2 linked regions of the Drosophila melanogaster genome follow. The protein of the gene in region 1 purifies or fractionates together with the protein of each later gene. This does not show direct contact. Each region holds a gene or a part of one and is shown in the gene's direction. Other genes may lie near its edges.

Region 1 (4,182 bases):
TAGGGACTATAGCTGTTTAAATATCTGTCCGGTCTAGAAACGCATCCGCCTTGGTCCCGTCGCACGTTTACGCACTACTTCGTTGCCATTGGTTGCCTGTTGTCGTTTCCTCGGTGTACAGCTGCTGAAATTTGTGGTCTTCAAGGCTGTGGATATATCTACGGGGATCACTACCTCGCCAGTCTCCTCAGCCTGCTGCGGTGCTGGCTGCTCCTGCGGTGCTGGCTGCTCTTGCTCCACCACGGGTATGAAATCGGCATCCTCTTCTTTCTGAGTGTTCTCCTCTGTAAATAAAGTACGACGCACGCAGCGCCTCGCTGTTGGCGGCGTTGAATCCTCCTCGGTATCCTCCTCATCATCGGTGGTTGGATTACATCGGGCGCTGGCCCGTCGTGCAAAGGAAATGCTGCACAGTGGCGGAATCAGAGTGGATCGTTTGAGGCTTGTCAGACCCCGATCGTAGACAGCCAGGCAGATTTCAAAGCCGCTCACTTGACCGCCGGGCAGAAAGGTGCTCCGATAGCCCAAAGTAAGGTGGACCGCGCATGACTCGCCCATGTCCAGGCCGCCGTAGATATGTTCATTACGCTTGTTCAACAGGCCACACGCCTCCACATACTTCAGGGAGTTCAAATTGTAGCTCGATGGACGGGGCGGTGTGATCAGGGTTGAGGAAAACTTTTCATTTACCTCCTCGTCATCGCTCTCTGGACGCACATGCAGAGTGGTGCCTGTGCGCTCCTTCTCCTCGTAGATGCGACGACGTTCCGAGTCAAACGATCTGCCGAAGCGCGCCTTCAGCAGAAGTTCGTCGCCCCACTCAATTTGTGCTGCTTCCTCGAATCCCTCGTGCTTGTAGCGCATTGTCAACTGGTTTCTCAAAAATCCGGTGATTGCCTTGGCGCCACGCACATTTCGACTGTAGAAGCTGAGGATGCAGTCCTCCCCCAGGTCGCGGCGTATGGTCCCATCATCTACGCCATTGATGAACTCATGGATCACCTCCAAAGGCGTCTCCTCTGAAAATAAAGCAAGCGGATGAGATGCGATGCGATTCCTATTGATCAGCCCAATCGCATACAGCTGTTATCCGTTGGTTTGCCACTTACTATGTTCTTCTGGAGCGCTCATTTCCTTCAAGTATTTTCATGCGATTGCGCTTATAAAAAATAAATATAATTTACAATATATACAATTCGACTTGGACACTATGTTGTTGATACAACAATGTTTTGGTAATATGCCATATCGGCCAGTGTTGAAAGTGACGCTAGCTATCGGCTCGAGGGGTCAGGGGTCAGCGCCTACTTGTAATTCGGCTACTGTTGTCCCGATAAATCTTTACGTTAGTTGTACTTGTAAAAATCACATTACTTTAATCTGTTAAGTCTATTAATATTGTTTGATTTTTATTTAAACGTTAATTGTTAATACCATATATCGCATGCACACTTGAGGGGCGATAGTTGGCATTCCGCTGAGAACTGGTCACACCGCACAGCGGGCCAAGCTCTATAACCGATACTAGAGGTGGAGAAACATCGATGTTGGCGGACTCAATGTTTTCGATGTGTTTGGCGAAAAACATCGATCTTTGGCAGACTTAGTCGTTTACAACTTAAGAATTATTTTCTTCTTTAATATTGCTAACATAATATTGCTTTTCATACGTCGCCGGTCCAGTAAGTGCTCCCATAAAACAAAAATACTAATTAGTCCAATTCAATGGATAAGTAAGCCAGTATACATACGAGCACGTGCACGCTTACACGTTTATGGAAAATTAATTTTTACGTACAATTTATACACTTTTATCTCCGATGCGCAGTATCGATGGAAAACCATCGATGATTCCTCGAAACACATCGATGCTTGTGATTTTTCGAAAACATCGATGACATCGAGTTGGCATCGATGTTTCTCCACCTCTAACCGATACCTTCTATCATACATTGAAGACGGATTAGCACCGTCGACCACGAAAAAAGAACGCAAGGAAATCGTGCAAAATGTTCAAAAAGTACGTATGGCATGAGTTAGATGGGGACATCAGACTAACCATAGCAATTCGATCTGTGCAGATTCGAAGAGAAGGACAGCATTTCCAGCATTCAGCAGCTGAAGTCGTCTGTGCAGAAGGGCATACGTGCCAAGTTGCTGGAGGCCTATCCCAAGTTGGAGAGTCACATCGACCTGATCCTGCCCAAGAAGGACTCGTACCGCATCGCCAAGTGGTAGGATGGCTCAGTTCTTGCCACAGCACATAACTCCATTCATATTCCCGATCCCTACTCCTCCACCAGCCATGACCACATCGAACTGCTGCTAAACGGAGCCGGCGACCAGGTGTTCTTTCGCCACCGCGATGGCCCCTGGATGCCTACCCTGCGCCTCCTGCACAAGTTCCCCTACTTCGTGACCATGCAGCAAGTGGACAAAGGCGCCATCCGCTTCGTCCTGAGCGGAGCGAACGTCATGTGTCCCGGCCTCACATCGCCAGGCGCCTGTATGACGCCGGCCGACAAGGACACCGTGGTGGCCATCATGGCTGAGGGCAAGGAGCACGCCCTGGCCGTTGGACTCCTCACGTTATCCACACAGGAAATGTAAGTGTGCTTCTACCACTTCTTTAGTAGTTAATATCTAAGAATATTAATTTATATGCTTGCATTTAGTTTACTTAAATGTGTTTAAATGTTCGTCTTTGACATTGTTTTATAATACAAACGTAGTAGTTTGTTGCTAGGTTAAATATGGTAAAGCTTTGTAACTTTGAAATATTCTTGAGCTTGGAAAAATCAAATTGTGAAAGAATAATCATAAATGGACAATGTTACCAATTTGCTGAGCCGTGTGCATATTTTTTAAATTTGAATAAACCATGAACATCTTTCTTTTCTCTTGACTTTTCCACAGTCTGGCGAAGAACAAAGGCATCGGTATCGAGACGTACCACTTCCTCAACGACGGCCTGTGGAAGTCGAAGCCCGTGAAGTAGGCGAAATAGGAATCTGCACTTGCACTTTTTAGTCTTCTATGTCATGAGAGCAAAGAATGGTTTTTGATATACGCAACTGAGTCCTGATTATTATTTTTTTCTACTAATTTTACTCTGTCAGTTAAACTATTTAAAACATTGCGAAATATAATTAATGGCATTTCAAGCGAGCAGAGAGGGATTGAAAGAGAGAGTACTGAAAAAGAAAACCAACCACCTGTGGAGACCAGTGGTCCAGGTGAAAGGTGTCCAGTGGATCTAAATTTGAGCATTTTAATCGGATTCGGCAGGTATGACTGAACATTGAGTCTTCTGTTTGGCGGTCTTCATTCTGTTAGCTCTTATTTTAAGAGTGACTGAATAACTGTGACTCCTTTTGTTTATTGATTAGTCTAAAGAGCAACGAAACAAGGCCTGTAGCTTAAAGTTTGCCAGGGCTGCGAACAACTCATACAAACATTTCAAGGTTATAGTTGATATCCGGGCACTTGTGAATACACGAAAAGATTGTATACAAAAAAGAGCTTATAACTAAATGTACACAATTTATTATTTGTAATATTATAATTTTTAGTAGTTTTACTTCAAAATTATTGAAATAAAGCTTCGCAATACGTGGAACTAAGTAATTTTTGTATGGGTATCTATTGTAAAACCATAGCAAACTCTTGAATAACATAGCATACTTTGTGGCGTCTTTTACTGCCGCACGTAAAATAGGAGTGTGAAGTTTTCCCATTCTATATGCAATTGGGTATGCGGCTTGAGGTATAGAAACTACATAGGTTTTTCATGGGGCGTAATGCTCTTCTTTCAAACTGTGCCCGCCGCCCTGGTTTTTCCAAACTTTCAGCTGACCGATAAACGGTACAATCGAACAGCTGACTGGCAGGCATGCGCAATGATAACGGTACGGCGCACTCCGCCGTAAATGGAGAAAGTGCTTTCCTTTCGCGTCACACAGCATTTGACGCATCCAACGGCAAGTGCAGTGCATATTTCCCCGGAAAGGCAAGAAGAAAAACGAAAAAAAAAACAGAAAGTAAAGTTCGGAATAACGGTGGAAAACATAGGGAAAAACCACAAGTGGTGGCTGGATACCGTTACCAAGGACTATGGACCTTTTCCATTGCAAGAAATGGTAATTTCAGATGAGTAATCGCTGTGGAAAGTGCTTGTGGGGC
Region 2 (3,580 bases), about 11 Mb from region 1:
AGACTCTTATACACATATGGCAATTTTAATCACATTTACTTAATATCGTGGTTGAATGCTGTCAACTTACAATTTAAATATAATTCGTTCATTTAAATTTATTCTTATATGATACCATTGGTTTTCTTTTACAAAAATTTTGTCATTTGTCGTCTTAATTTCATTTACACATATGGTAGTACAAAAATAGCAAAGTATTGGCCATATATGTATGTACATGTACGATACACAGGAATAAAACATTGGTTTTTGATTTACAACATTAAACTTTGTTTGCTGATATTCCACGGATGCTAGCCTAATAGTTTTTGCCAACCTGCTTTTAAATTTATCACGACTGGTTTGCAGAATTGTCTAAAACGTAAACTTTAAAAACCTACTAAAAGGAACCTACTGGAAGGACTTGGTCAGTATCCTGGGAGTCTGCGATTATTGGTTTGCCGTAGAGCAGGACCTTGGCCAAAATCGACTTGCAGCCAGAAGCGCTAGCATCGATACTTTTGATTATCTCTTCTACGTGCTCGTCTTCCAGGTGCACCATTGCGATGGCGGCTTCCCTGCGGATGCAGTCGACCAGATGGGTGGGATCCAGAGTCGCAAAGGTGACCAACTGGGTGTGTGGCATATTTCTAAGGATCTCCATATCCATCTCAAACTCCTCGCCGGGCTGCATGCTATTCACATTAAAGATAAACACAATGGTCAACCGCTTCTGTTGCGGATGCTCAGTGTGGTTGGCGCTCTTTTCGCCCTCACTTATCATTTCGTTAATGATAGGCACGAAGTGTGCATCCTTCGGCGTCATGTTATCAATCAAGATCATATTCTGTCCGCAATATGTCAGGCCGGATAGCATGCTCTTCACTCGGCCCAAAGAAGAACTGCCGGTCCAGGAGAGTGTATTCACGTTCTCGGGCCAGGGAAACGTTTCGCGCAAGATTCGCGCAGTGTGGCTCTTGCCTACGCCAGAGGTGCCCACCAAGACGATTGCCTGTTTGGAAGGAGATCCGGGATATTAATACACAAAATATTGGCAATTCATTAAGTTTACTAAAGATCATCTAGTTGTTTGTTGCAATAACCAGGATAAATCTGGATGAGCATATACAACAACTGGTAGTACAATCAATAGTAAACTATACTAAGTGATATGGAAAATCCGCTTAGGATGCACATTAAATCTACTGTTTCCCCGCTAGTCACCTCATTGGTGGTGTTGTCCAGTGCCAGTTCTAGCTGGTTCAATGCAAGATCCTGGTTGAGTACCTGGTGGCGGGCGTGCAGGACCATGTCGCCCAGCCGTCGGGAGGGATTGCAGTAGTTGTCCTGGTTGTGGACGATCGAGTGGTACTGGTTTTTGTAGCTTTCCAGGAATCCGCTGACCGTGGACAACTTGTCGGTGAACTGCAATAACATGCCAATTCCTGCGGCGAGGGCGAGAATGAGGTATGCCCAATTCCGCCATGGAGCCTTCTTCTGGGTACAATGGGCAATGTCCAAATGGTGTTTGCACACCTTTTTATTCAACCGCCTGTTGGACTGCAGGCGGCGAATCTCAGTCCTCCTCTTTCTGGCGAATGGCCGGCTTATCGGGGCGACCACATTTTCATTCTTTTCGTTCTGTATTAGAGTATTGTATGTGACCATTTTATTAAGCCTTGTTTCGTTAGCAACTGGATATTTTTGGCTGACTTGTGCTCGAATACAATTATCAGCCTACTGTGATACAATTTGGTAAAAACTTTGGTTGCATGTTACAAACCGGCAAATTATTCTAAATGCCGCTTCCTTCATGCAGTATTTCACGAGTGTTGTTTTGATAGGCAAACATATTTTGGTATTTTACTATCGAAACATTCTTCTGTTCTGCCAATAAATACAATTTTAATAAGTATTTTGTAATACAATACAAGGTATAAATTAAAATAGTTTCAATCAATGTAAAATTAATGAAAATACGTAAATTTTAATTTTAGCTTATTGATAGTCGGAATTGTACTACGATTTAAATAAAGGTATATTTTAGGTAGGTATTTATTTAACATGTGTCAATGTTAGTATATTTTACGAGCCTAAACAAAAACGGTCAGTTTGCAGTAGCCGACTTCTTAAAACTGTCATTATTTTAATATTTCAATAACCCGGAGCAAATCCCAGGCAGTTAATCCGATCCGCAATGACGAACGAAGATGTGGGCACCAACAGCGTCGCCGACCGCCTACAGTTGGGTCCGCGCGAAGGCGTCACCTATCCGATCCAGATGAAGTACTGTGGCCACTGCACGATGCCCATTGAGGTGAGTTCGTCTTCAAACCTGGGAAAAATCCATATTAGGGATCATATATGGCCCATATATTTACATATATATATATCCACTATACGCAGTACTGCGAGTACTATCCGGAGTACGAGAAGTGCAAGGAGTGGCTGGAGCTCCACATGCCCGATGACTTCGAGCGACTAAAGATTGAGGAGGAGGCTGCCGCCGCTGACGGGACGGATGACGACAAGAAGCGCCAGAAACGCGGTGGCAAGGGACTGTTGCGCGTCAAGAAGAAAGAGGACGTGCCCAAGCGTATCTGCGTCTCGCGGGCGGCACGTGGCAAAAAGAAGTCAGTGACCGTGGTCACAGGATTGAGCACTTTTGGTAGGTTCTGTTCGCACATTATGAGTATAGAGTAGGAAATGGAGGGGGATGCGGGCCCACTGGATGCTATGAGTAGCCATTACCATACCATGTAACTTAGATATATTAGATATACTTATGAGCTTTATTGTTAACTAAGCATAATACATTCCCTGTCTGTTCCAGATATTGATCTCAAGGTGGCCGCCAAGTTCTTTGGCACGAAATTTGCCTGCGGCTCCTCGGTTACCGGAGACGACGAGATCGTCATTCAGGGTGACGTCAAGGATGACTTGTTCGATGTCATACCCGAAAAATGGGCCGAGATCGATGAGGACGTCATCGAGGATTTGGGCGATCAGAAGCGAACATAAATAATTTACCTTTTTTTTTAGCTTATTTTATACGCTCCATCAACATAAATATATGAAACGTTAAACGTAATAAGCGGATGGGTTATTTTGGCGGCTGCTACCCGAGGTTTTCTCCATCTGGTGTCGGATTGGACTTGGTTTCCATTGAAGTGGGTGCATCCGTTGCAGGCGCTGTAGTGGCTTCATTTGCTGGAGTAGCATTATTTTCTGAAGACGATGTTTCCACTGGGCTTGCTTCTTCTGCTGGAGTAGTAGTAGTGGCTTCACTTGAAGGAGTAGCGACATTCGCAGGAGTAACTCCATCACCTGGCGTGGTTTTGTCCGCTGGAGCTATTTGTTCCGCTGGATTGGATTTTGCCTGGGCATTACGCTTTACGCCAGATTGCTTGCCGGCCTTCGCAGTGGACTCCGCAGGCTTTTCCGCCGGTGTTTCCTTAGCAGCGCCTTTGGTTTCTCCACCATGGAAGTGTTTGTAGCTCAGCTGAATGATTTTCTCGTTCTCCTCATCGGTTAGTGGAGCTTTATTGTCGTCGATGAGCTGGGGAGGTTATTATATACTTAATTAGCCTTTCTGGCATAT

Evidence for each region.
Region 2: the proteins of MCTS1 (region 1) and DENR purify together in Drosophila melanogaster (affinity purification with western blotting; one study listed by BioGRID). This does not show direct contact.

Annotation. Positions count from the first base shown.
Region 1 is NC_004354.4:6,035,960-6,040,141, forward strand, and holds MCTS1 (malignant T cell amplified sequence 1), read left to right. Parts: upstream 1-1,932; 5' UTR 1,933-2,009; coding exon 2,010-2,020; intron 2,021-2,081; coding exon 2,082-2,234; intron 2,235-2,303; coding exon 2,304-2,606; intron 2,607-2,916; coding exon 2,917-2,998; 3' UTR 2,999-3,617; downstream 3,618-4,182. Other genes in the region: rux (roughex), read right to left, coding at 34-1,019, 1,110-1,131. UniProt on the Drosophila melanogaster protein: Regulates translation as part of a complex with DENR. Specifically required for translational re-initiation in mRNAs containing upstream open reading frames (uORFs). Not required for standard translational initiation.
Region 2 is NC_004354.4:16,885,034-16,888,613, reverse strand, and holds DENR (density regulated protein), read left to right. Parts: upstream 1-2,053; 5' UTR 2,054-2,085; exon of another isoform or gene 2,086-2,157; 5' UTR 2,158-2,176; coding exon 2,177-2,296; exon of another isoform or gene 2,297-2,314; intron 2,315-2,385; coding exon 2,386-2,647; intron 2,648-2,754; exon of another isoform or gene 2,755-2,812; coding exon 2,813-3,000; 3' UTR 3,001-3,068; downstream 3,069-3,580. Other genes in the region: CG4880 (uncharacterized protein), read right to left, coding at 380-991, 1,204-1,647; Polr3I (RNA polymerase III subunit I), read right to left, coding at 3,098-3,538. UniProt on the Drosophila melanogaster protein: Regulates translation as part of a complex with MCTS1. Specifically required for translational re-initiation in mRNAs containing upstream open reading frames (uORFs). Not required for standard translational initiation.